Linked DNA regions of Nothobranchius furzeri. The protein of the gene in region 2 interacts with the protein of the main gene of each other region in a pairwise test. Links are inferred from orthologs where the notes say so. Each region holds a gene or a part of one and is shown on either strand. Other genes may lie near its edges. The genes, in order: edc3, dcp1a and pnrc2.

What was found.
Region 1: the proteins of dcp1a (region 2) and edc3 interact in binary tests that used the Homo sapiens proteins (3 or more experiments, as listed by UniProt). The two-hybrid records come from large-scale screens. The link is inferred for Nothobranchius furzeri from reciprocal best matches to the Homo sapiens genes DCP1A and EDC3.
Region 3: the proteins of dcp1a (region 2) and pnrc2 interact in binary tests that used the Homo sapiens proteins (3 or more experiments, as listed by UniProt). The link is inferred for Nothobranchius furzeri from reciprocal best matches to the Homo sapiens genes DCP1A and PNRC2.

The regions. Positions count from the first base shown.
Region 1 is NC_091744.1:58,992,133-59,000,528, reverse strand, and holds edc3 (enhancer of mRNA-decapping protein 3), read left to right. Parts: upstream 1-3,325; 5' UTR 3,326-3,466; intron 3,467-3,658; 5' UTR 3,659-3,661; coding exon 3,662-3,825; intron 3,826-3,897; coding exon of another isoform or gene 3,898-3,914; coding exon 3,915-4,141; intron 4,142-4,234; coding exon 4,235-4,573; intron 4,574-4,657; coding exon 4,658-4,811; intron 4,812-6,221; coding exon 6,222-6,439; intron 6,440-6,533; coding exon 6,534-6,868; 3' UTR 6,869-7,095; downstream 7,096-8,396. UniProt on the Homo sapiens protein: Binds single-stranded RNA. Involved in the process of mRNA degradation and in the positive regulation of mRNA decapping. May play a role in spermiogenesis and oogenesis.
Region 2 is NC_091755.1:32,988,682-32,997,191, reverse strand, and holds the end of dcp1a (mRNA-decapping enzyme 1A), read left to right. Parts: intron 1-1,758; coding exon 1,759-1,825; intron 1,826-1,929; coding exon 1,930-2,068; intron 2,069-2,141; coding exon 2,142-2,174; intron 2,175-2,833; coding exon 2,834-3,394; intron 3,395-3,478; coding exon 3,479-3,691; intron 3,692-3,792; coding exon 3,793-3,873; 3' UTR 3,874-5,218; downstream 5,219-8,510. Other genes in the region: transketolase-like, read left to right, coding at 7,154-7,260, 7,466-7,583, 7,712-7,825, 7,939-8,036. UniProt on the Homo sapiens protein: Necessary for the degradation of mRNAs, both in normal mRNA turnover and in nonsense-mediated mRNA decay. Removes the 7-methyl guanine cap structure from mRNA molecules, yielding a 5'-phosphorylated mRNA fragment and 7m-GDP.
Region 3 is NC_091745.1:69,952,794-69,960,811, reverse strand, and holds pnrc2 (proline-rich nuclear receptor coactivator 2), read left to right. Parts: upstream 1-3,508; 5' UTR 3,509-3,696; intron 3,697-4,153; 5' UTR 4,154-4,372; intron 4,373-4,572; 5' UTR 4,573-4,592; coding exon 4,593-5,057; 3' UTR 5,058-5,598; downstream 5,599-8,018. Other genes in the region: fabp10a (fatty acid-binding protein 10-A, liver basic), read right to left, coding at 7,725-7,775, 7,877-7,966. UniProt on the Homo sapiens protein: Involved in nonsense-mediated mRNA decay (NMD) by acting as a bridge between the mRNA decapping complex and the NMD machinery. May act by targeting the NMD machinery to the P-body and recruiting the decapping machinery to aberrant mRNAs.

The DNA.
Region 1 (8,396 bases), on a different chromosome or scaffold from region 2:
TAGTTGTATGATTTTTTTAAGTGTGCAGGACAAGCAGTGTTATAAATCATCTGAACAGATACTGATATTCTCCAGGCCAGTGTGAAATGTTGCACAGCTCTGACTAAATCCTAAGATGTTTCCTTCCATGAAATAAACAGGTCAGAAACACTGATCTGCTTATAAAAATAGTGTGCAATAAATGGACTTAAAATAATTTAGAAGGAAATTTAAATAGCTGCTACATCTTCATGTTTACAAGAAATCAAGAGTTTAGAAAAGACAAAACAGTGTTAACCCAGCTCAGATTTACATCAGTTCAGCCAACATATCTGAAGATTTGTCATCCAGTGGATAGAAAATGAAGCCAGCCCTTACAAATAAAGCACCGACTCTTACAGAAACTATATCTTTAAAAAAAAAAAAATTCTAACCTTCTGTGGCATCTGGGAGAAAAAAAGAACATTTATGTGTAAAGTTGCTTGGAGCACTGTGCCATAAATCAAAAGCGACAAATAAAACACCCACAAGAAAAAAATAAATAAATAAATAAATAAATAAATAAAATAACCACAAGTAAAGTCTTTGGAGTTATTGATCAGTCCTCTAGATCAGTGGTTCCCAAACTTATTTAGCCACGCACCCCCTTCTATGTCCCGACCATGTCGACCCCCCCCCCCCCCCACACACACACACACACATCGGGGCATTGCTATATATATATACATATATATATATATATATATATATATATATATATATATATATATACATATATATATATATATATATATATATATATATATATATATATATATATATATATATATATATATATATATATATCAGATGTCAAGCTAAACAGACAGGGTTAAAAAAATTCCCCATCACTTTCATTTTTTAAATAGTAAATAATAAACGTTCGATACATTACAATTTCCTTTGATTTCATTTTAAATAAATATTTGGAGTGCCCAGGTAGCACATAAACAATGCAATTTAACGGTTTTCTTAAAGTAGGAACGTTTAACCTGTGCGGCCAGAGCGCTCTCCTTCCTTCTGCTCTGCGTAAACCTGAGCTGATCACCTACTTGTGCGTAATCAAATGTCAATAGGGGACAAGATATAGCCATGATGTTCACTTTTACCTCAGACCGACTTATTGCTGTTTTATGGTGTGGCTAAATCTGCGATCCGCTGCCACGCGGACTGGAATAACAAATGCTGCAGTAACAGGACTTGTGGTCAGGTTCATGAGGAGTCACTGGCTGTAGCGGACCCGACTCATCCCAGAAGCTAATATCTTAATTTGACCTTGAATGAAAAATAACCTCTTAAAAGTTTTTATCAAGGTGGAGGCAGCGTTCATTTCTGCCTTCAGTCTGACAACGCGCCGGAGTTAAAGCAGCGTGCGTGCTTATTGAATCTGTGTGTGTGTGTGTGCGCGCACGCGTGTGCGGCATAGCCGCTCAAGTCACCGCGTCTCGTTATTGGCGCTATTTAAACTTCTGCCCAGCCCAGATGTGCTCACATGTGCACCCGTGAGCCGTGGTTCCGCTGGAACACGTCTGACCTCTGACAGACGCACTCTGAACTTCAGATCTTCAGCGCGCTGTCAATAGCCTAAATGGGAATCATTTCTTGTTATTTTGTTACATCCACAATGTTCTGTGTGTGAGGTTTACAATGTCAGAACACCTGCATGAGACAGGGTGTTAATTACAATCTGCCAGAATGACTTGCCACCTTCAGATTTCTCCAACACCGTTAAAAATGATCAAATACGGAACATATCGGCGTGCGCAGGCCAGAGTGCTGAAGCTCGGCGCATTGTTATTATGAAGCTAGGGCACATGCGGAGGACACGCGCGCGCGACGGAACATATCGGCGTGCGCAGGCCAGAGTGCTGAAGCTCGGCGCATTGTTATTATGAAGCTAGGGCATATGTGGAGGACGCGCGCGCGCAAAAATATACTTGTTTTCAATTACATTTATTGGGCCCACTTACTTTTTCTTAGGCCCACCCACAAATGAGTTTCTACAATAATGGTGACATATGACAGACTTCTCTGAGCTCCGCAGCCATTACACTTTTCACCTCGCGCACCCCCTAGCGGCAGCTCGCGCACCCCCAGGGGTGCGTGCACCACACTTTGGAAATCCCTGCTCTAGATGAAGAACCTACAAATTCTGAAAAATCTCAAGCATTGTTTATGCAAGAAGCTGCTGTCACTCAGGATTTGGCACAGAAGCTGACTGACAGCATCAGTGAACTGCAGACAGCTTCAAAAAAAGAGGAAATGCTGCAAGTACTGATTATTTGCTAACTAATAACTGTTTCCATTAAATGTGTTTATGGAATGGTTGTAAACCTTATAAAATACTTGTACTTCAGTAAAACATGTCAAACAATAACAATGAATCCACAAACAAACAAACAAACAAACCTTCTAACACCACAACTAAATCATAAAATATTAAACTCACTGGAACCCTGCTGAAGGGAGTGTGGACACATAAGTGCCAACCACACCCACATGTTTTGGACATGCAACAGAATAAAACCATTTTAGGATCAAAAATCTATTGAAATGACAAAATTATTTGGATATAAAATACCCCAAAATGAGATGATTTTAATGTTTTGTAACTTAACTGAGAATGTGGTCAAGAGAAAGGACTATCTCTGTAAAATTTTGTTAATTGCTGGTAAAAAAACAATAACCAGAACCACCAACCCTGGAACAGTGAGAGGAGACAGTGAACAATATACGATGGAACGGATCACTTTTTAGTTGAGACTGAGGGGAGAACTCTTTTTTTTAATGGGGAAAAATGGACCTCCTATCTTCAAGGGACATAGGATGCTAAAGGTAAAAATATAACTGGTTATAGGATAGAATTGGCAAAGCCCCAAGCAACTGTTTTATATTCACCCATACATTTTATTGTCATTTTTTCAATTTTGCCCTATATGGTTCTCCTTCTTTTCTTTAGTTTGTTTTTCTACCAACACAGATTTTTGTTGTATATGTTGATTAAATAAGAAAGACAAATAAATAAAAAGTAAAAAAAAAAAAAAGAAAAGAAAAAAAAGAGGAAATGCTGCAAGTATTGATTATTTGCTAACTGATAACTATTTCCATTAAACGTGTGGAATGGAATGGTTGTAAACCTTATAAAATACTTGTACTTCAGTAAAACATGTAAAAAAATAACAAAGAATCCACAACAAACAAAAACTCACTCACTCACTCACTCACTCACTTTCAGTTAAAGACTTTTGACTAAACGTTTTTACCAGCCAGATATAAAAGTTCCGTCTTATTTTGAAAAGCTCAGTCTACCGGAAACAGGAAGGCGAATAGCAGTAGCTGTTCTAAAGCTAAAACGCTAACTTCTCCGAGAGCAATTTTCTTAGCTTTTACTACCCGCTGTTTCATTTTTATTATCAAGAGGGGTCTACTTTATCTTAATTCCCTAAAGGTACGGTGATAGTTGAAGGTATTTTACGTTTCAGCACGTAAATTGGCTCTGCGTAGCTTAATAACAGGCCGGAATAATAAGCAGTCGACACATTTCGTAGGCCTAAAAATGAACAATTAATATTTGTGGTTCTCTTAGGTCACAAGTTAACGTGCTGCTGTAACAAGTGTGACAACTTTTAACTTTTTGCAGATAATGGCTGCGGACTGGTTAGGTAGTTTAGTGTCCATTAATTGTGGCCCAACGCTTGGGGTGTATCAAGGAGAAGTATCATCAGTGGACCAGTCAAGCCAAACCATCTCTCTAAGGCAGCCTTTTCACAACGGAGTCAAATGTCCAGTTCCCGAGGTCACATTCAGGTAAACACGGGTCTTTTCCACTGTTAGTAACTTTGTGTGATTTGCAGTTTCTAGTAACTATTGATACAATAGTTTGATTGTTTTTCCAGTGCCATTGATATAAGGGAGCTAAAGATTTTAGACATCAGAAGTGGTAATGCAAGGAGAACCTCTACTACAGCTACAAACGTGCACAGTGTTCCGGTGGCAGTCCCAAAGGGTGACCCCAGAGCTGTTGAGAAATTAAACTCTCCCCAGCAATGCTCTAAAAGTTACGGAGAGCGTCATCTAGATGCTCTGGGCCAACCCAAAGGGTTTCGTCGAAGACATAACTCATGTAAGGGCCATTTGTTCGGCGATCAAATAACTAAACAAAAAATCAATTTCTGTGGCATGATACTAATGGTTGAAGTTTTTCTAATCTCACCAGGGTCATCTAGTAGTCGAGGACCAAACCAAGCAACACCTAAAAAGAATGGAGTGAAGAACGGTCAGATGAAGCACAGAGACGATGAGTGTTTTGGGGACGGCATGGAGGATGACCTGGACACGGATTTTGACTTCGAAGGGAATCTTGCCCTTTTTGACAAAGCAGCAGTTTTCTCAGAGATTGACACATCAGAGCGGCGTAACGGGGCACGGTCACGGGGCACTCCTCAAGACCAGACACCCTCACGGTACCGCCATGATGAGAACATATTGGAGGGCAAACCAGTCGTTTACAGACAGATTATTGTACCTCAGCCTGGGGCCAAAGAGTACTGTACTGGTATGTGCTTAACATTGTAAATGGTATTATATGATAGTGTTTGGGTTTAAACTGGTTGACACCTTTCTCTATTACTTTCTACAGATTCTGGACTTGTTGTACCAAGTATTTCCTATGAACTCCACAAGCGGCTGTTGTCTGCTGCTGAGCGTCACGGCCTCTCACTGGAGCGAAGACTTGAGATGACTGGAGTGTGTGCCAGTCAGATGGCACTTACACTGTTAGGAGGGCCCAACAGGTAAATGTGTAAAGATGAAGACTAACTTCTAAATCACCTTAGAAATAAGGAAAGTTTTGAGTCAATTTCAGCACTTAAATTATTCGAGTAACTTAAATGAGCTAATTACAGATACTTCATTGGTTGTCATGACTGTGGTTTCCTCTGTGTCGACATGTTTAATTGGGACTGACATGCTGAGGCAGCCCGAAAAGTGGCTTCACTTTTTAATAATGGAGAAAAGCAAAGATTTTTTTATGCATGACTAAGGCCGACTCTGGTATAAATGATGGATGAAACAGACCAAACGGTTTTGGATCAATCAATCAATCAATACTTTATTAATCCCAGAGGTAAATTAGAGTTTCAGTATGCACAATTCAGAGATCAGACATACAGGTTGGTAGGTCGGGTTTTCACAGCATCTGTCTGCATTCCTTCATGGGGGTTTTTAGTTGCTTGCAGTTCAAGGCTACCAGGGCGTCAGATTCGGATAACAAGAATTTGTTTGGGTCAGGCTGATATAATTTTCCTCTTTGCCTTCAGTCTTTTAAACTGATCATTCCAGTCCTTCAGTGAAGCCAATTTTGGGTTTTTAAGCTTGTCCATACCGTCTGGTAACTCTCCGAGATGACGTCCATTTTGCACACTAATACCGGTATCGCAGCTAGAACATTGTCCAGCTTATGATTCACCTCGAGTAACGTCCCAGTCTGAGAAGTCTCCACACGTACGGTGCTTTCCGTGGGTGCAGGTCACCCTCCAACCGCTCCCGTCTTCCCAAATTTCCAGAAAACCAGATATCCTCCCACTCCAATCAGGAGAAATCCAGTGATCATCAGGCCGAATATCCACACGTCTTCGATATCCTCAATCGACAGCTGGGAGAGGCATATGATCTTCCACTCCTTCCGGGAATCCAACATATATCCCACTGGGTGTGTCCCCTGTGGACATGTGGGAGCCCCCCTACTCCGTTCTCAATGTTGAAAAAATCTTATCGATCGCATTGAATGACCAATTTATCAAATCCATGGTTAGTTAACAGTTTTTCAGAAGAAATGCAGAGAAGCGCTCTGTGGGCAGACAGGACAAAGAGCCTTGGGGAAAAAAAGATAAGGGAGCAAAAGAGGGAAGCGTCTGTACTCCTCGAGTGCCTGAAGAATCAGACATAAAGAAGATCAAACATAAAAAAGCATCAAACTTTTGAGTAAAAGATTGGGAACAACCTGCGTGATGCATGTAGCTGCAGCACTAGTCGCTTGTGTACCCTTTTGTTTTTGTTTCCTCAGGTATGTTCTGAGGTGTAGTTTCCAATGTTTCCTCTTTTCGATGTTAATGCAGGTTATTTAAAGAATTTTCGTTAGACAATTGATCCTGTTAATTTCTCCAAATTTTCTTAACCTAATCTGTGTTTCATTTCAACTCTAGATTCACACCAAAAAATTTACATCAGCATCCCACTGTGGCGCTGATGTGTGGACCTCATGTTCAAGGCGCTCAGGGTATCAGCTGTGGTCGTCACCTGGCCAATCATGAAGTAGAGGTTATCTTGTTCCTGCCAAACTTTGTCAAGATGCTTGATTCTGTGACAAACGAGCTCACACTTTTCAACAAAACTGGAGGCAAACAGGTGTCCAGTATCAAAGGTGGGTTTGTTGGGACATAAATATTGATAATTTGTTTATTTTAGTAATTAAGAGTTCAAAAATTCTATAGTTATTCTTTTATCTGACCTTGCAGATCTCCCAGACACACCAGTTGATCTGATCATAAACTGTCTGGCCTGCCACGAGAACACATTCCTGATGGACCAGCCTTGGTACCGGGCAGCTGCAGACTGGGCCATCCAGAACAAAGCACCAGTGCTCAGCTTGGATCCTCCTGTAAGTGGACAGGGACATGCAGTAGAGGCGAAGTGGTCCCTCTCGCTTTGCCTCCCCCTTCCTTTAGCTGAAGGGGCTGGCAGGGTGTACCTGTGTGACATCGGTATTCCTCGCCATGTGTTTCAGGAAGTTGGAATCAAATACCTTTCTCCTTTTGGCTGCAAATTTGTCATCCCGTTACACTCGGCCTAAAATGATCGAGTATAATTTTCACCATCCATGACCATTTTGGTTTTGGAGCCTTATATTCCAAAAGTCTCAGTTCAGTTTCTGATGTATCACATTAACTGGACTTTGCTTCCCTCATACTGGTGGACCACTGTTGTTTACTTCATACAGACATAAGACTACGTGAACGAAGGAGGAATATATTTTGAGTCTTTATTTCAAACCCATGACCTGACCACTGGAGGAGATTGATGTTGTGGTTAAGTCAGGGGGTGATAAACAGTGTGACTAAGTTGTTAAATACGCTGTGATATAAGGTCCTCTTCTAAATCGAAAAGGACAATCTCTGAAGTGAATTTCATAGTTCTGAAGCCATATAACACGTACTTCCTCTTTTTTTTTTTGTTCATGAGGCAGAAAACGTGTTGCTAGATGTAACTTCAGTTATGTTGTTCTGAACAGACATTTCCATCTACACTTGTATTTATCAACAACAAATGAGATAAATGCAAATATTTGAGTTATTGTGCCAGCAAAGGAGTTCCTCTAATGTAAAAAGTCCCTTTTATCCAGCATGCATGTAATGCAGAAATTATATAGATCAGTCATCACCAAAATTTGAGTTAAAATAAAACAACATCCTTATTGTGATGCTTGCCAAATGGTGCAGCTGCTGGATAAACTTGCAGAAATCTGCAGAGCTGTGATTAAAGCAGTCTTATTTTGCTGTTTGAGCATCTGAGGGGAAAGTTTTTCTTAAGGACAGTATCAGTGTGTTCATAGCAAAATACCTGTTAGAATGATCCATTTAACACCTATTAAATGTATTTTCTTGCAGTTTTGATGTAAATGTTCTTTGTCTTTTTGGACGACATAAAACATTTTGCACCCTAAAACACAGAAATCTGCAGTAAAAACCAAGCCTTTCTTGTGGTTTTGTGATGCGGTTGAAGCGTGAACCGTCCTTATAACTGCATACGAAGCTACACCAACAGGATATGTTGCAAACTGAATGTTTACTTTTTGCACAACTTTAGCGTGCATCTTTTGTTTTATGTTGCTAAGAAGTTAATGGCTGTCCGCGGATCAAATGCTTCCAACTGTGGTTTGATATTAGACATAAGGGATAGAAATGACAGGTTTGATCTTTGAAGTATTAAAGGTAATGCTTCCCATTTTCTCATAATAAAAGCTGCAACAGATGATCCATTTAATTTGACATTTTTGTCTTTTGAACGGACACACAATGTGTGTGTGGACCTACACACACATTTAGATGTCCTGCGCAAAGTAGCCTTTAAGAACCAAAAAGGTTGGATCATAAAGACTTCATGGCAATCTGAAAACACTTTTTAAATTCAGAGTGTTAACTTGGCATTTACAAACTGAAAAAGGATTTAGGAAGGGTTGCTTCTACCTTGCTGCATTATGGTTTGACAGATGTAACATTTTTTCATCTTTTTTTTAAATACAAACATTTTCATTATTTCTACACAAAAGTTGAAATCAGTCTAGAAATAAAGTTTCTACTAAATTTAGGACATGAATTAAT
Region 2 (8,510 bases):
TTTGTTTCAAGGTGACTTAACATTAAGGACTTGTTTCCAGCACAGAAAAAGTGTTTAATAAATCTGTAAACATGTTTAATGACTTCTGAACCAAAATGAAAATACATTTCCTCCTAGTATAATAGCTTATTATTATTGTTGCTTTGTTAAATTCTGTTAGTCACAAAATGCTCATTATTTAATAGAAATTTCTGCAATTTTGGCATTTTCATAATTTTCCTATTTGAAGCATTAGTGATATCTTCACTTTTACATACAAATGTGTGTATTAATTATATTAACTAGCACAAACACTATTATGATCCTTAATTATATTAACTAGCATAAACACTATTATGATCCTTAATTATATTAACTAGCATAAACACTATTATGATCCTTAATTATATTAACTAGCATAAACACTATTATGATCCTACCTGTGAAAACAATAGACAGATATCTCCCCAGCGTTCGATGGAACACCTCTCTTCCATATTGCTTGAAGTCATTGTGACGTCTTGCAGCATCAAGCAGGAACACTTTAGCACTCATGGCCCAAAATGGCCAAACAGCAACTTCAGCTTTGCTAGTGAACAGTTATCTTTCTGCATTTGGGCAACCGTCTCAGAGTTAAGTCTCTGATTGGTGAATCCGACCACTAAGTTAATCCAGCGATGTCCTCCAGCCTTGTGACAGAGCAGTGTAACAAAAAGGCCGCAAAGTTTCTCAAATCTTCAAAAAGTAGCTGACTGCGCTGCCTCCAAGGTAATCTATTAGAAGTCTGAAGAGAAGCTTCATCAGGGCAACGAACAAGGAGTTAGAATGCTTTCCCATTTGTTTGCTTATAAGGAAAAACAGCATAGCCAGGGTCAAAGTTAGAGTCGACGGCTCCCCTTTTGGAGTTGGTTTGCACATCAGCCTGGCTGGGATCGAGGACATGATGAGGTTGGTATCCCAGTAAAACCAGCTTCTCGGATAACTTTACTTTAGCATGTGTGCTAATATTGTTGTTTGGTGGAGTTGCAGGAAGATAATCTTCAGGTTTCTCCCTGGCAGCAGACAGTCCCTCGCACACACACAGTCCACTAGATCTCAGTGTGCTGACTCGTTCTGTAGCCTGTTGCTGTAAAGGTGTGGCTGTATGAGTTTAGATTTCCCAGCTGTGATCCTGAAAGCGAGAGTAGTAGAAGAAACGATGAAGACTGAGCTGGCATAAAAGCAGGATCAAATAAAGAGCACAGGTTAGACACAAGTACGGTTAAATCTTCAGAGAGATGGTGATGATTAACAAATATATGAGTGTTTCTTCAGTCTCCTTTGAGTGCTTGTGAGCTTGCAGCTCGGGGCTATAGACTGTTGGAGAGAGACATACTTGTTTACATGGCTTCATATTCCCTTTGGTGGCTGGAGATGCTGCAGGGAGGCAAACTCTTCAGTTGCTAGGTAACCACAGCCTCCCTGGGGGATGGTATATTCACCAGTGTGTTGGTGCAATCCAAAATCACATAAGTGATGTGGTAACAAGTTAATGTTTCTGTGAAAAATGTAATATTTAATCACTAAATCATTTTTGGTTTGTGTCAAATTTGATGTTATTTTTTTCTGTTCTCTATCTGCTGCTTGAAACAAAGATGCAAATCATGCAGAACCGAGTCCTTGACACAGCTCTAAACAGCTTTATTCAGTCATCACCCTAATTCTGTGCTTTAATCGACAAATTGTAATTTTTCAGTTTTTTAGGCAGCTAAAAATGTGTTCTTTGTTTTGTTTTTACAGTGGGAATCTACAGTATTTGGTTTTATGACAAAAAGGACTGCCAACGCATCGCTCAGCTGATGGTGAAGTAAGTAGGTCAGCACATCCATGCTGTGTTTGTGGATATGGTTTTTGGGGAAGTTCTGTAAATAATTAGAAGTATTTCATCAGTATGTTTTAACTTTGCTCCAGGATTGTAAAACAAGAAGTGGACCACGCCAAGAGGAGGAGCCCAGAGAGAGCAGAGGCAGGCAGAAGCAATGGAGTCGCAGAACCGCGGCCCATCGACATCCTGGAGCTGCTCAGCAAAGCAAAGGAAGAATATCAGAGAGTAAGATTTTTAAAAGATGTTTTAGTTTTTCTTAAAACACCTGATCACTTTGTCTTTTTGTCTTTTTCTGAAGACCCAGTCCGGGGAGACAGAAGTGTCTGCAGAGGTGAGCATGAAAGCAACAATCAGTGATGATAAAGAACACAACACACTTGAAAAGATTCATTATGAGTTCTGTTGTTTTTATTACGTCCTTTAGAGGTGATGACAGAATGTAATAAAAGTTTTGTATTTGTTTGATGTTGACCGCAGAAAAGTTATGTTGTTTTTTATTATGCGAAAAGTGGTTTAATCTTTATTTTACTAATTACTTCCTAATTTTATCTGTTTATAAATGATGTGTAATGGAACAAATATAGAAATAATAGAAATTAGAAATAATAGAAATTAGTTGTAATTTTATATAAATACTTATATTTATTTAAGTTATTTGTCATTTTTAAAGTAATAATGGTGGGAATTGTTGATTTCTTTATTTGTTCTGTTTTGGGCCCTGTTCCTTGGTGATTTTGACGTTTTTCTTTTGTATTCCAGATTTTATTAATGTCTCAAAATTAGCATCTTAGAGATAAAAATCTTTTTCAGAATTTAAAGATGTCACAATCTGCAGCAGATTGTTGTAAAACCATCGATTGCTAAAGTTTATAATGGCCAAAACTCATCATTTAGTTAAATACTGATTCTAAAAAGGGGGCAATGAAGGTGATTCTCAAATAAAACATGATCATAAAATAATTTATAATTAACCCTCTTTTTTTAATGCAGGGCTTTCATACGATGGTGAAGCAGATCACAGTAGAGGAGCTCTTTGGTTCTTCTCTTCCTAAGGAACCCTCTCTAATGGCCGCGCCTTCACACAACAGCACAGCTTCCACTGATCTTCCTACTGCCTTTGTCCAGAAACAACCTTATCCGCCCCAGCAAAGTCCATGCATCCCCTCTGTCTCCAACCACCAGCAGCAGAAAGGCTCCGCCCTAATCCCAGCTCCTTATGTGCTGAATCACAGTCCTGTTTTCCACTCGGTGGTTCCGAGGCAGGACCCCCAATCCCAGAGCTCCATCTCCTCTCTTATGATGTCTCCATCTGGATCTGAGCATCTAGCTACTCCGTCTGGGCCCATAGCTTCTCCAGTCACTCCCAGCTCCTTTTTGGGGCAGGATCTAGTTGGCTCGCTCAAACCAGCTGCATCGTCTGTGAATTCAGGTGTTCACAAACCGGTCCTTGCACCCAGCTTCCTGCCAAGCGCTCTGGTTCCACCTCATAGCTTCCAAGAATCCAACAAAGAGGTTTTCTCTCAGCCTCCTAGCCTGATAAACCCAGTTCCTGTGAGTTTGTTAGCTGGTGGCTTTTTGTCTCTATATCTTTCTCAGCTGGTTATCCACAAAATTTCCTTTTGTCTCTGTTCCCAGGCTTTCCCCGTGAGTCCAGCTTTAGCTGTCCCCGTGTCAGAGATGTCTGTGCTTCTTTCCCCCAGCGTCTTTCAGCAAACCACGAATAAGAGCACATCAGCACCCATGGTGCCTCCTGCTTCCTCTGAAGCGTCCTGTGCCTCTGGACGGGCTGTAGAGTCTCTACCCTTCAGTAAAACCCAGCTACAGGACACTTTGATACACCTCATTAAGGTACAGTTCCGAGAGGCAAAGTTTCATCTTTGATGCTCAGAGTTAAAAAGAATGAGTTGAATTTAAGCTGAATGATGGTTGTTTACTTCCTTCTTGTCTAGAATAACCCAGAGTTCCTCAGTGCCATTCATGAGGCGTACCTGCAGAGTGTATCCAAGGACCTGCGCAACATTAAGCTATAGTCCCACCCCACTGATGATGTCACTGCTGCACCCATGTGACCACAGAAGAGACTATTATTGAGCAAAGATGAGCTGAAGTTTGATATTTTAAGCCGGTTTGAACTGGTTATACTAGGGAATGTCATGGAAGTCTTATCAAGGCAAGGAGTGTATCTGGTTAAGATATGTAAACACTGAACTGCTGTTCCAGTTGATTTTGTGTACTTTTCTTTTTTGAAAACAGTATTTTTTTACCTTTTTGTATAAAAACGTCCGTTCCTGTGCAGACAGGCAGCTAAAAAACTAACGTTTTGTTTCTGGCTGCTGACTAAAGCATTGTTATGCTTCTCAGACTCACAAAAAAACAAACAATATTTTGTTACTATTACTCGTGTTTTTTCTACCTTTTGCTTTTCTTTCAGTATTATTATGACTCCTCCACTGGCTTAGCTCTCGGTGCTTTTGGAGAGTCTTGTGCCGTAAATAACCTTTAGGGTGATAACCAGCGTTCAGGGTTGCACAATGGCGTTTATGTAAACGTCCGAGTTCAGAGGAGCTATGAATTTTAAAAAATCCTTTCAAATTAAACATCATGAGCTAAACTTATATAAGTGTTGTTCCATTAGAATCTATGTTATAACATTCAGTCCTTATTATCACATGTGGTCTGATGTTACTTAGTCAGCTACACATTAACCAAATTAAAAGTAAATAAATTAGCTTCAGTCCTCTTGTTTATCCAGTCATATTTAAATCTCCAATAATTTTATTTTTGTTTAAAGCTTTTCGGGGGGGGAAAAGCACAATTGTTTTTTTTTTTTACATTTCAAACATTTTCATTCTTTTAGAAAAATTGTTTAAATGCAAAAATGTTTTTCTAGTCACAAATCATCAAGCATATTTCATTAAATCAGCTCTGCTCATTTGCTCCAAAGTCACTAATTAACAAGAAAAAAAAATTTTGAAGACTAAAAGATTTTTTTTTATTTTATTAAAAAAAATTAAATAATTTCAAGCAAATTTCATTATAAATCCTTATTTTGACATCATGACTGTGTCTGATTTATTATAGGAATGCTGTTTCCGCCTCAGATCGGCAAATCTTTTTTTTTTTGACTGCTTCAGTGTAGAATGTGAAAAATGTGCATTCTAGAAAGATGATTAAATAATCAAACTAAAATAATGATTTCAGGCATAATTTTGGTTTTTGGTATGTTTAGTGTAAAATTGATTATTTTAATCATAGTCACATATTTAAGATATTAGTTATTTTATTTATCTTAAGGCCAGAAATGTGATTTTCAAAAAGTTTTGTTTGTTACATATTTGGCTGGCCATATTTTGTTATAATAAAGATTTAAACACAGATTTGACTGCTGATTTTTATTTATTTATTGCTGTGAAAATCTGTTTCAAAGCTGAAATGTGTTTTTTATTTTGTCTGGATGCATTTTGGCTAAAACTTAAGAAAAAGTTTTACATTTTTATTTATTGAAACGAAGTAAAACTTTCTAAAGCATTTTGTTAGCTTGACCACTAGATGCCACTAGCTTTCAGTTGATGTGACAGCACTTCTGAAGTCTTAATTCATTGACAGACATTTATATGCAAAACAATGGCTCCAGCTAGCTGAATTTGCCTGTGATGAGTATATTTATGTCGATGGTGATAAGCACTTCATTGTTTATATTTGGAATAAACGTGTTATGATTTTTTCCCTGAAACATGATGGGTATCAATTCTGTCTTATGGCAGGGGCGTGTCCAGGGAGAGGCCTGGTGTGCATAAGACACCTTTGGAATCTGGTTAGCCACCTGGATGAGTTCCATTGAAATTTACTTTATGCCCCAATGCCAATACTCGCACTTTCACACTTGCACCCTTCAATTGTGCAATCCCAGCCAGGAGTGCAAGTGCGTAAGGTGAGGAAGCTAATCATTTTGTGCCTTTGACCTGCACTTCACCCAAGTCTGCATCGATGCAGACTTGGGTGAAGTGTATTAACCACATTGCCGCAGGAGAAAAGGCTCAGGTGCCTTTTCTGAAAATATGTAGTTTCAAATATAAGTAGTTAATTTTAGGACGATTAGTTGATGCTCTGAATGTTTTCAACAAAGCAGCAATAAATGTAAATTTATTTCAAGTAATTGGTTGTTTGTTTGAAAGTTGTTAAAGAATTTTTTTAAGTATCACAGCAACCAGCATCCCGGCATGCAACAGAAACAACAGTCATGGTACAATGTGAATTTAGCTTATTCACTAGAATGCGAAAAATTAATTATTTTGGGAGGGTTACCCCACCCCAAAAAAAAGACATAACCATAGGTGCCACCCCCAGCTGGGCCACCCCCATCTTAACAGGCCTGGCCCTGTCTGATGGAACAGATTGGTTACTGAAAGTTGTCATTCCTTCATTCATTAGGGTGTCTCAGATATTTGGTATCATTCACACAGCCACTCACCGGGTCCTTAAAATGTGATCTACAGGTGAACCTGGAAAATGTAGAATATTGTGCTGTTAAGGTGCATGTTTTAGTCCACAAAGGTGTTTTCTTTTTAATTTAACCCCAAAAGCATGGGTAAACTTTACAAAATTTAAATACATGCCTGCTTAATTTAGACAAAGGTAGATCAGCCCACAAAAACACAAAGAAGGTAAAACACACAAAAGTAATAGAAATCATGACAGAAACTAACAAAGCAGAGTATTCTTTTTTATTTGATAATATGTCTATCTCTTCCTTTTCTGCTTTCCTTTTTTCTTTTATTGTTCAGATCGATTAAAAATAGAAGTTTTGTCGTGAGGATGTAACAAGTCCACCTGGTTCCACATGGAGCCAACATGAAAAGTCCATTAGATGAAGAAGTGGGACCAAACAAAACACTGTAATATAATATAAGAACATTTCTGTGTCCTTGATAAGAACCAACAAAATAAATGTTCATTCTTATCAGATTACATTAACTTTTTTTCTATTTTTAATGTTTCATTCTTTATAATTAATCTCCACATGAACACTAATTCATCTGCACCACGGTTATTTGTCCATAATCTGCCTGAATGCGTATGAGCGTGTGCTCGTGGCTCTCTCTCACCCTATTGGCTGCATTGTTCCACTAACCTGCTCCTTTCAACCCAGATTAGCCATATCCATAGGCAGACACGCCCCCTCCCTCCCCCTTCACCTGTCATCGTCCTCTGAAAACTCATCCTATTTATTCTCGGAGCTGCAGACAGACATCTTTTAACTCTTTCCTCAGCTTTAAACCGATTTGTGCGTGCGTGCTTTACTGCGGCCAGATGGAGGACTACCACAAACCGGACCAACAGACTGTGCAGGCGCTCAGGAACATCGCCACCCGGCTCCGGATCAACTCCATCAAGGCGACAACTGCAGCGGGTAGCGGGTGAGATAAGGAGAAGTGTCATAACTTAAAAATTTTAAGCATTATTTAACCTCGTTGATGAAATATGACACCATCAGACAGTGACTGTTGAACCTCGAGTTGTTGGTTTTATTCTGGCTCCGTGTCTGAGTCTGCATGTGTGCAGCCGGAGGTGCTTCAGACATACAATGTGGGATTTTCTCAGTCATGTTCCTCTTCATTGTAGGCACCCAACATCATGTTGCAGTGCGGCAGAGATCATGTCTGTACTTTTCTTTCACTCCATGAAGTATCGACCTGAAGACCCACGCAACCCCAATAATGACCGGTTCATCCTCTCCAAGGTAACAGCAGGTTCTGCATGCACAAAGACAGCTTATAGTGACATATATGTGCAAGGCCAGTTGAGCATTCATGTTGTCAACTCTTCTTAATTTTTAAATTAAATAAGCTTTTGCCTGATCCTAACCAGGGTCACGCAGCCCCTGTGCTGTATGCTGTCTGGGCGGAGATTGGCTATCTGAAGGAGAATGAGCTCCTCAATCTCCGAAAGGTCGACTCCATCCTGGAAGGTCACCCCGTGCCGGTAAGGTGACATTCTGATCTGCTGGAATCTGTGGGTGCAAAAGCTGATCTGCTGCATCCCTACAAGATTCTTTCTCTGTCTATGAAGATTAAAACATGTGTTTCTGTTCACAGAAGCAGCAGTTTGTGGACGTGGCCACTGGATCTCTGGGTCAGGGGCTGGGAGCCGCCTGTGGGATGGCCTACACCGGGAAATACTTTGACAAGGCCAGGTAACGCTCACAAAGCCAAACTCAGACTTTCAAACTGAACCAAGCTCAGGCAGAGACCTCACACAGCAGCTTGTGCACACGATCAAACATAAATGACGATCGCTGCAGTGCACGGTGCAGATGTGACATTGCTGCTGGGAGTTTTCGTTTAAACCCTGCAAGACAGGTTTGGTGCTTTTCATTAGGTCATCACAAAAGAGACTCAATCTTAAATCAAGTGCTACGATAGATTTTTACAAAAGTTAAATTTTGCCTCAGAAATAAACAGATTAAAACAACATTTTGCATGAACTGTAATTTTTTTCTTAAGTGTTTATAGATTCATCCTCTTGTTCTGACCAGCCCTCCTGTGCGGTTTATTCAGCTGAATGGTGCTAATTTGAATCATTCCACATGCGTCTCCTTTGTTCTGTTGTGATCTAGGAAGAACCATGTGGGTTCCACGCTGACAACAGACATTTTTGATGCATGTGA
Region 3 (8,018 bases), on a different chromosome or scaffold from region 2:
GTAAACATAAACATTTAAATCAAAAAATACATGTCTGTGTACAGTTTACTGTACTGTACCATTCCTCCAGCTCAGGCTCTCAAACATGAGCCAGCTCCTCCCATGGAGAACCCATGGAGCTATCAGGCTAGAGAGGAATTATCTGCTGAAAGATCTCCTCCCAAAAACCTCCAGAGGAAGGTAACCAGGAGTCCTCTTGATGAAACAGCAGCTGCAGCTCTACTCAACTCCCACACTGAACCTGCAAACAAAGTACCAAGGTCAAAAGACCAATCCTGTAAAGGCACTAGTTCACTGTCTGTGATTGTTATCCTGACTCTTATATAAAAAATGCTAAAACATCAGACTGTACAGCAATGTATCAGAAGACGGTTTAGATTTTTAAAGCATGTTATAGTCAACAGAACACCAAATACTTGCTGCTTTTATAGAATTTAAATTATAAAAGAGGTTTAGACAAAAGTTAAATTGGGTCCTGTTAGCATGCAATCCTGACTGTACACTGCTTTTGTAAGAAACTACGGTGACCTGCAGGGTGGAAACAGCTGATTTGATATTTTAAAATGACTTGCACTAAAGAAAATCTGTTACATAATCTATTTAATAAAACGTTCAGCTTAAAATTAACCTGTTAAGTTGCAACATTTATAGTAAGGTGCAAGTTGAAACTGTTCTGTTGATGAAAACAACATATTAAATGACTTCATTTGCATGTGTTTAAACATAAATGACACGTGAAACTTTTTGTCTTTTCTCACCCACTTCCCTTTGTTTGTGTGTTTGGAAAATTTGGAGATTTCAGAATATTGAAATTCCTATCATGACCCTTGCCTTTTAACATATTTTTTATTATTTAAATTGGATTACTATTATAGACCTTGAGTAAATCCCACTTTGCATGAGCAAAAAGAATGAAACAAGCAGCTTTCCTGTTTTCCATTCTACTATCTATTGGTTTAAATCTGTTACTCTTTGACTTGTTTACACTGTCAGCATTTGCAAACAGTGAAATGGGTTTTAGTGACCCACAGAGGCCTCAGTGACCTACTTTCCTTACATAGCCAATCCTGGTGTGCACAGCCCCCATTCAAGGCAGCGTTGCGTTTCAAAGGCGTGTCCTGCCATAGTGTGACAAATGCCTTGTTGCGCAAAAGCTCCTTTTAACTTCAGATAAGAAAAGTTGAGTTGATCAAGGACAAGACTATCTGCTGGTCTGTACTTTGCAGACTTGGAGTCCCATAAAACCACCTGCTAGGCTATGTCACATGTTGTTGTCCTCAAATGGTCTGTAGTAGAAAAAATCTTATTGAGTTTCAAAAGTAAACAAGTATTAAAAATGTCTTATTATACGTTTTTATGATTTTTATTGGATATGGAAAGAAAAAAACTATGGACAAAAGCTATTATGTCATGGCTCATTTTAGGAATGGGTCAATGCTTAAAGTGGCAGTGTATAGTTTCCTGGCAAAAGGGGGCAGTACATACATTTCTGGGTAGTTTTACACCATATCGCCATTGCTGGTTTAAAAAAACATTACGGTAAATATTGTTGCCTGTGGAGCAGAAAGCATGCAACCTCGGCGTGACTCCTCAGACTTTGATGGTCCTTCGGTTATTTCCATTGAGAGAATGCAACGCCAATTGTAGTTTGCTGGCACTGCACTTTCCGGATCTGCTCGGGGTCCTGCGCCTGCCAATGACGTCATCACACTACGGCAATGCCGCTTGGCCAAAATACATTGCATCTCTTTTTTGATTCTGTTCTTTCACTTATGTTTTGGAAAGAGTTTATCAGTTTTGTTAATAAATTTGTGTTTCTTACTGCCTAAATGTTTTTGAACGTGGTAAACTAACTTCCATAAGTTGTACATCCAGCCAATCATCTAGTGTGACATCATCGACAGGCGCAGGACCCCGAACCAGCCAGAAGGAAAGATGGTGTCTAATATGGCATCCCCCAAAGACGACCTGCACCCTATATACCCGATTTTTATGGTTATATGGTACCATGCCGCTAACATTTTTCAACAACTGGACATCATTTTATTAATTTTCAATAATGTTTAAAGGGATATTTCCAGAGATTAACGGCAAGAACAACCCATTAGCTACATTTACATGCGCCAAATTTCCCCCATCCAATTCAAATTTTGGTTGTTCAGAAATCCCAAATCTCTGTTTACATGGACACTAACTGAAATTATCCGATGCTTTAGATTTTACCTATCACTTTAACTAAGCTAGGCTCAGCGGTACGTAACACCATTTCCTCCACAGAAGAGGGGAGCAGGATAACTTCTGTTCGCCTCCTGTCATGTTTTTGACTTGTCCTGAGCGTCTGCAGAAGCGGAAAAATGTCACGCCAAAGTTGCACACATGCTCAGTGGGCATTACCCCAAGAATCCAAATGAGTGTACATGGACGTCAATTGGAGTGTTGATTGGACAAAATCACCTATCTCAATGGAATTTCATTCCAAATGAGCTGTATCGGATCAGAATATTCCAATTGACATGTTTACGTGAATAATCTTTGATCTTATAGGGCATTCATTCCGATTACTTGTCCCCATGTAAACATAGCTATTGTCTCTTTAAGTCAAACTTACATCGAACCAACTCAAATATAGGCTACATGCAAAAATCTTTGCCATTTTCTTTTATTTCAAAAAAGTATGTGACATTTCTTACTGATACTTCATGGCTATTGTAGGCTTTTTTTTGTCCATTCCCTTGCCAAAAATGTAATTTTGCAATGCTGCAGCTCTCTCAACCGTATTATTTATTTATTTATTTATTTATTTATTTATTTATTTATTTATTTATTTATTTATTTATTTATTTATTCCAAAACACTTTTTTTTAAAACATTCAGGTGGCTGTTATAGCACTCTTAATCAAACCTGGATTGAGAATCTGAAAAAGAGTTTTGGTGAAATAATTGTAACTTGAGCCAACGTTGGGGGATGGGTGGTGTCATAGTTTTCTACAGTCACTGGTTTATGTCTTGTGTTATGGTTATTACATCCTGTTGCAACTGGTCAGAGCTGAAGAACAGATTCAACCCACAAAACGCAAAAAAACAAACAAACAGTGGCATTCTGTTTCAGAAAAACAGTTAAATCTGAAAGGTTGTTGTATTTATCTTGTTGCATAACAAAACACGATTGCGCTGTCGACTTGAAGCTAATATACGGTGTTTTATGTACCACAGGGACACTTCATACTTGCTCTTTTGCTTGTAAACGTGAGATTTTCGTCATCGAGAGTGATTGTTTTGAGTTGTTTTGTCACTTCTCTTAGGAAATACCCGGAAATACCCTAACCATTTCCAACAAAGGAATGGGAGGGAGGAGGGTCAGCCATTGACGTCAGCAGTCTGGCAACAGGCTCGAGCGCGTCCGCTTACCTCTCCTGTAATTGGTCGCTCGGAACGCATTCCCTACGTGATTGGTTGGCTCCGTGCGAGCACGGACTACATAGCTGTGGTGAAGATTCCATTTTGTTGCAATCAGAAACGGAAGGGAGAAGTGGCGTTTCGACGGCCACCGGTAACAGCACACAAGCCTCAAAGGGTGACGGATTTGTAGGAAACATAGACTTCTGTGCTTCCTACACAGTCCACGGAGTGAAATCAGAGGCTAACCACATAAATATTTTCAAAGAAAGGCTTTAACAACCAAGCCTGAGGAAGTCGGTAAGAGAAGCTGTTTTGAGTCTCGTCGCCATGTTGAGTTCCGTTTCTTTTGTTTTGGTTATGTGGCAAAATACAGCGATACGGATTGGGTAGCCGTTTGATTTGTGTTTCTAGCGTTTGTAAATGTGAAATTAGTTAACTAAAGTGCGACTTGCCATATTTTCATCGAACTTTATTAATCAAATTCATCGTAAGTGGTTGGAACAATGATTAATACTAAATGCGTTTTTATGCTATTTTGTGTTTATTTGTTCATTTTTATATCAATAAACCCTGAGAAGTTAGAAATAAGACGACGGGGTGTTGTTTTTGTCTTTGTCATGACGCATTGTGGCGTACACCATTGTTACAGCTAATTAATGCCTTGTTACATAATAAAGACGTGCGTAGCTTTTGTTTTGTATATTATTGTCGCTAGTTTGCGCATCTAAAAAACGCCTTTTCACGCATTTTTAAGGCTCTCGACTTCTTGGAGCATCGTGCGCCGAGGTGAATTGATGTTCAGCTCGGCTTCACGGGAAAACAACGCTCATTGGCACATGAAAACTTCAGACCTTGCTGGACTTCTAAGTGCAGCGAGAAGTAGACAGAGAGCTACTTCGAGGACCTGGGGACCGATCGGAGGTGAAAGATTAAAGAGGGATCTCAGCCACGTCCACTCTCTCACAACAAAGAGGTGAGAGCTGCCTGGCTGGGGGTGTTTTTGCTCTGGGTTGTGTGTGGGGGAGGGGCAGCGCAGCCCTGGACGTCTGCAGCTCCTGCACGTAGCTGCTGCAGCAGCTTGTTTTTTTGTGGAGGGTGCAGTGCAGAGTGCCTTTTACGCAATAACTTTTATTTTAAAAACGAAAATGGTAACGTTTTATAATTGTCTTGCAGGTGACAGGTAGTAGTGAAACATGGGAGGTGGAGAGAGGTACAACATTCCAATTTCCCACCCGGATCGCCCCAAAAAAGCCCATCAGCTTGGCAAGGCTAAGCAGAGAAGCCGTGACCAGAACGGAACCACAGCAGCATCTGTAGGAGGAACGGGGGCCCTTCACCACCACAGCCACCGTCGGAGCGACAAAGGCCCTGCCTACCACAGATCTCCAGAGGCATGGCAGGCCATGTCCTTGGAGAAGAATGCTTCTGTCCGGTTTGCCACCAACTACGAAAGCTGGGAGGGTGCAGTGTCTCATCTTAACACGCTCCTGTCAACCCAGGGCAGCCCGAGCTATGCAGGCCCTAAGTTCAGTGAGCCCCCCTCACCTAGCGTGTTGCCCAAACCCCCGAGTCACTGGGTGTCTTTCCCTATAGCGTCCTGTGACCACAGGGAGATGATGGCCTTCGAGCTCAAAAACCTGCTGAAGGTGCAGGCTTGAGCTGAGTACACACACTTCACCTAACTAGAGCCAATGCTTAGACTGTGACTCTGTTGAGGCATTTGCTCACCAGGAATGCCTCAAAGCTGTAATACACTTAACGTTTTAACAGACATCATCCGTAGCTAAACGTGGACATTTAAAGCAGTGAATTGACGTTGAGTCAATTTCTTTTAAATAGACTTTTAAGCTATTACAGCTTTGCTGCCTTGTTGGTTGGGCATGCCTTAAATGGAGCCAGTTTTTGTAAAACGACGACAAACTGGATTCTTTTTACCTTTTTTTTGTTTTGTTCTTTTTAGAGTTGGCTGTCCGAGCAGATTGAGTGTTCTTTTTTCCCCCCCAAATAGGGGTTGAACTATAGGTCAGGTGACATCCATTACTTTTATGGTCCATTTCTGTGGGCAGCTGAGCTACTTCACTGGTTTTGGTTTTAAGGTTAAAGTCTTTGGAGGGACTTCCAAAGTTTCGGGTGCTAAAGCGAGTTCATGTTTGTAGCATTTTTTTAAGAGCCCCCCCCCTTTTTCTTAGCTAATATATATACCTTGTTTGGAACGAAAAAAGGCACTCAACTGTAGTTCTGCAGGGAAAAATGATATTCTATTGAACGTGAGCTGGTGGATACGGTGAAAGCCTGACCTCGAAGGCTTGAACGAGACCATAGCACATGGACTTCAGACCACCAACTCCTGTATCCCTTTTTTATTGCGCTGTGCGCACACGCACTATAGGAGTTGAGTGTGCCTGAAGTCCGCAACACTATCACAGCATTATTTTGTACAAGTCCTTTTTGATGTGATTGAAAGATATGTGAAGCGCTGGGTAACCAAAGCTTTTTTTTTGTTGACGGCCCCCGTGTGGTTGGCGTGATTCCCACTCCTTTTCTCTTGCCAGCCCCGGCGGTGAATGGGTTAGCATTCCCTAAACATTCGTCTGTTTCGATCAGTACTGTTACTGCCCTTCAGTCTCTGCCTCATCACGACGGTGGCGCAGCTCCCAACGCGCGGAAGAGGGCCTCGTTTTTACGACGGGGTCCAGTTGGGTGCGCGCACGTCTGAGGTGAGGTAGAACCCAGGAGCTTTTCTAGAGGGAAGCAGCTCAAGGGGCGTAACCTATAGCAACGGAGATGATTTGTTTGTTTTCAAACGTCGTCCCTGACCGACCATCTGATAATCCGTCCCCTTGATGCTGCTCGTTTCCCCTCCTGCACTGTAACCAGAACTTCACCCTGAGTACCAGGTTAGGATGCTATGGGAAGTGATTGAGATGCAATGGACTATCTTATGAGTTCTATATTTTTGTGATTTAGGCCTCTGCTGAGGCTTTTTCATGTTTTCCCTTTGCAGAATTGAAGCTGCTAATAGCCAGTGTAAAAACAACAAAACAAAAGAGATTGTTAATGTGTTCAAGAGCCATGTAAATAAAAAATGTGTAAAGTACTTGTAGCATATGTACATTTACAGGCAAACATTTGATGCCTGTCTGACAAAAGTATTTTTAGTAATGAGAATGAATGTATAAGACGTGCTAAGAACATGTCTTGACTTCAATATTGAAGAATATTTTTGTTAAAAAAACAAAGAAAGTTCCTGCTGTTAGCATTTAGCAGTACCCCTACACTGTCGACCTGAAGGAGATCTTACACATGTTTTTCTATTGTTTTGTATTACGCAGTGTAGGGTCAGATATGCCAAGTGCAAATTAAATAAAACAAAAAAAAAATTTAATTGGATTCGAGGAGACTTGCGTATGGAGAGATTTGACGTTTTAATCTGTTTACAGATTGTAAGATCGACACTTAAATGCTAACGAACTCGTTAAGTTAATTTTTTGCCAACTTTTCTTTTTTTCTTGAATAATCACCAATCCGAGGTCACTTTGAGCCCTCAGCTGTTCTTCCGCCAGCTGACGGTTGAATCTGACTCACCGATTAATTATTACCTTTGTTTTTTTTGCCGGATTCAGTCTTGCATAGCAATGTCTCCTCGCTCTACATAAAAACAGAAACAATTGGCTGCTAATTTGTCCCTTTTCGCGAAACGTCACCGATGATTAAAAGATGTGCCCCATTTTAAGATTTGTCTTGATTGATTTTCAAAAATGTAAAATGTGCATTGAATTGATGACAAAGTTTAAAAAAATAAATAAATTCCTTCCCCTCCCCCATCTTTGTCTCTGTTTATTGTTATTTCAAATAACTATATTTGGGTGTGATACCCTTTTAACTTTAATTTTTGTAGTAATTCCTGCTATTTTTAGCACAGTTGTCATTCAAAAAATGTCAAAATGCTAAATTATGTGAATAAGTAAAAATAAAATTTTTGATTATCAAACATTTTACATGTTTAGGAAATGTATGTGACATACCTATCATCCATGTGGGAATGCTATGGCATAAAAATTATATTAATGCATGCACATATCCTATAGAGGACACACTGCACAGACAAATAGTTTTTTGCATCATTTAAGTTTTAGTGTTATTTATATTCACCTCCATAAAGCTAGAATTGAATATGACATTTACTTTAAAAGCCTTAGTTTCAACAATAAGTGTTTTGCATTGTGTCAAAGGCATGTTGGCCAAATGTGCACAGACATAAAGAACAACACAACATACAGTAAACACCTCTTTATTTAAATACATATTCTAATTTTTGTTCAGGTCTAGACCTTTCTGCTCCTCCTGACCAGAGTCGTCGAGCCCCGGGTCAAAGTCTAAACGGGGAAAAAGAAAACAAATTAGAAAAATAATTTTTAAAAATAAAATCTTTTGCAGGATTTCAGCATGTGTGCAGGATTATTCCTGTGCACCAGACCTCGATCATCTCTCCTCCTTTGAGTTCTTGGACGTGGCAGAATTTGCCGGTATTGCAGACGAGCTTTCCACCCTCCAGATTGACAGTGCACTGGGGGTTGGGAAACAATTCAGTACACCTAATGTGTCCCTCAAAAGAGACG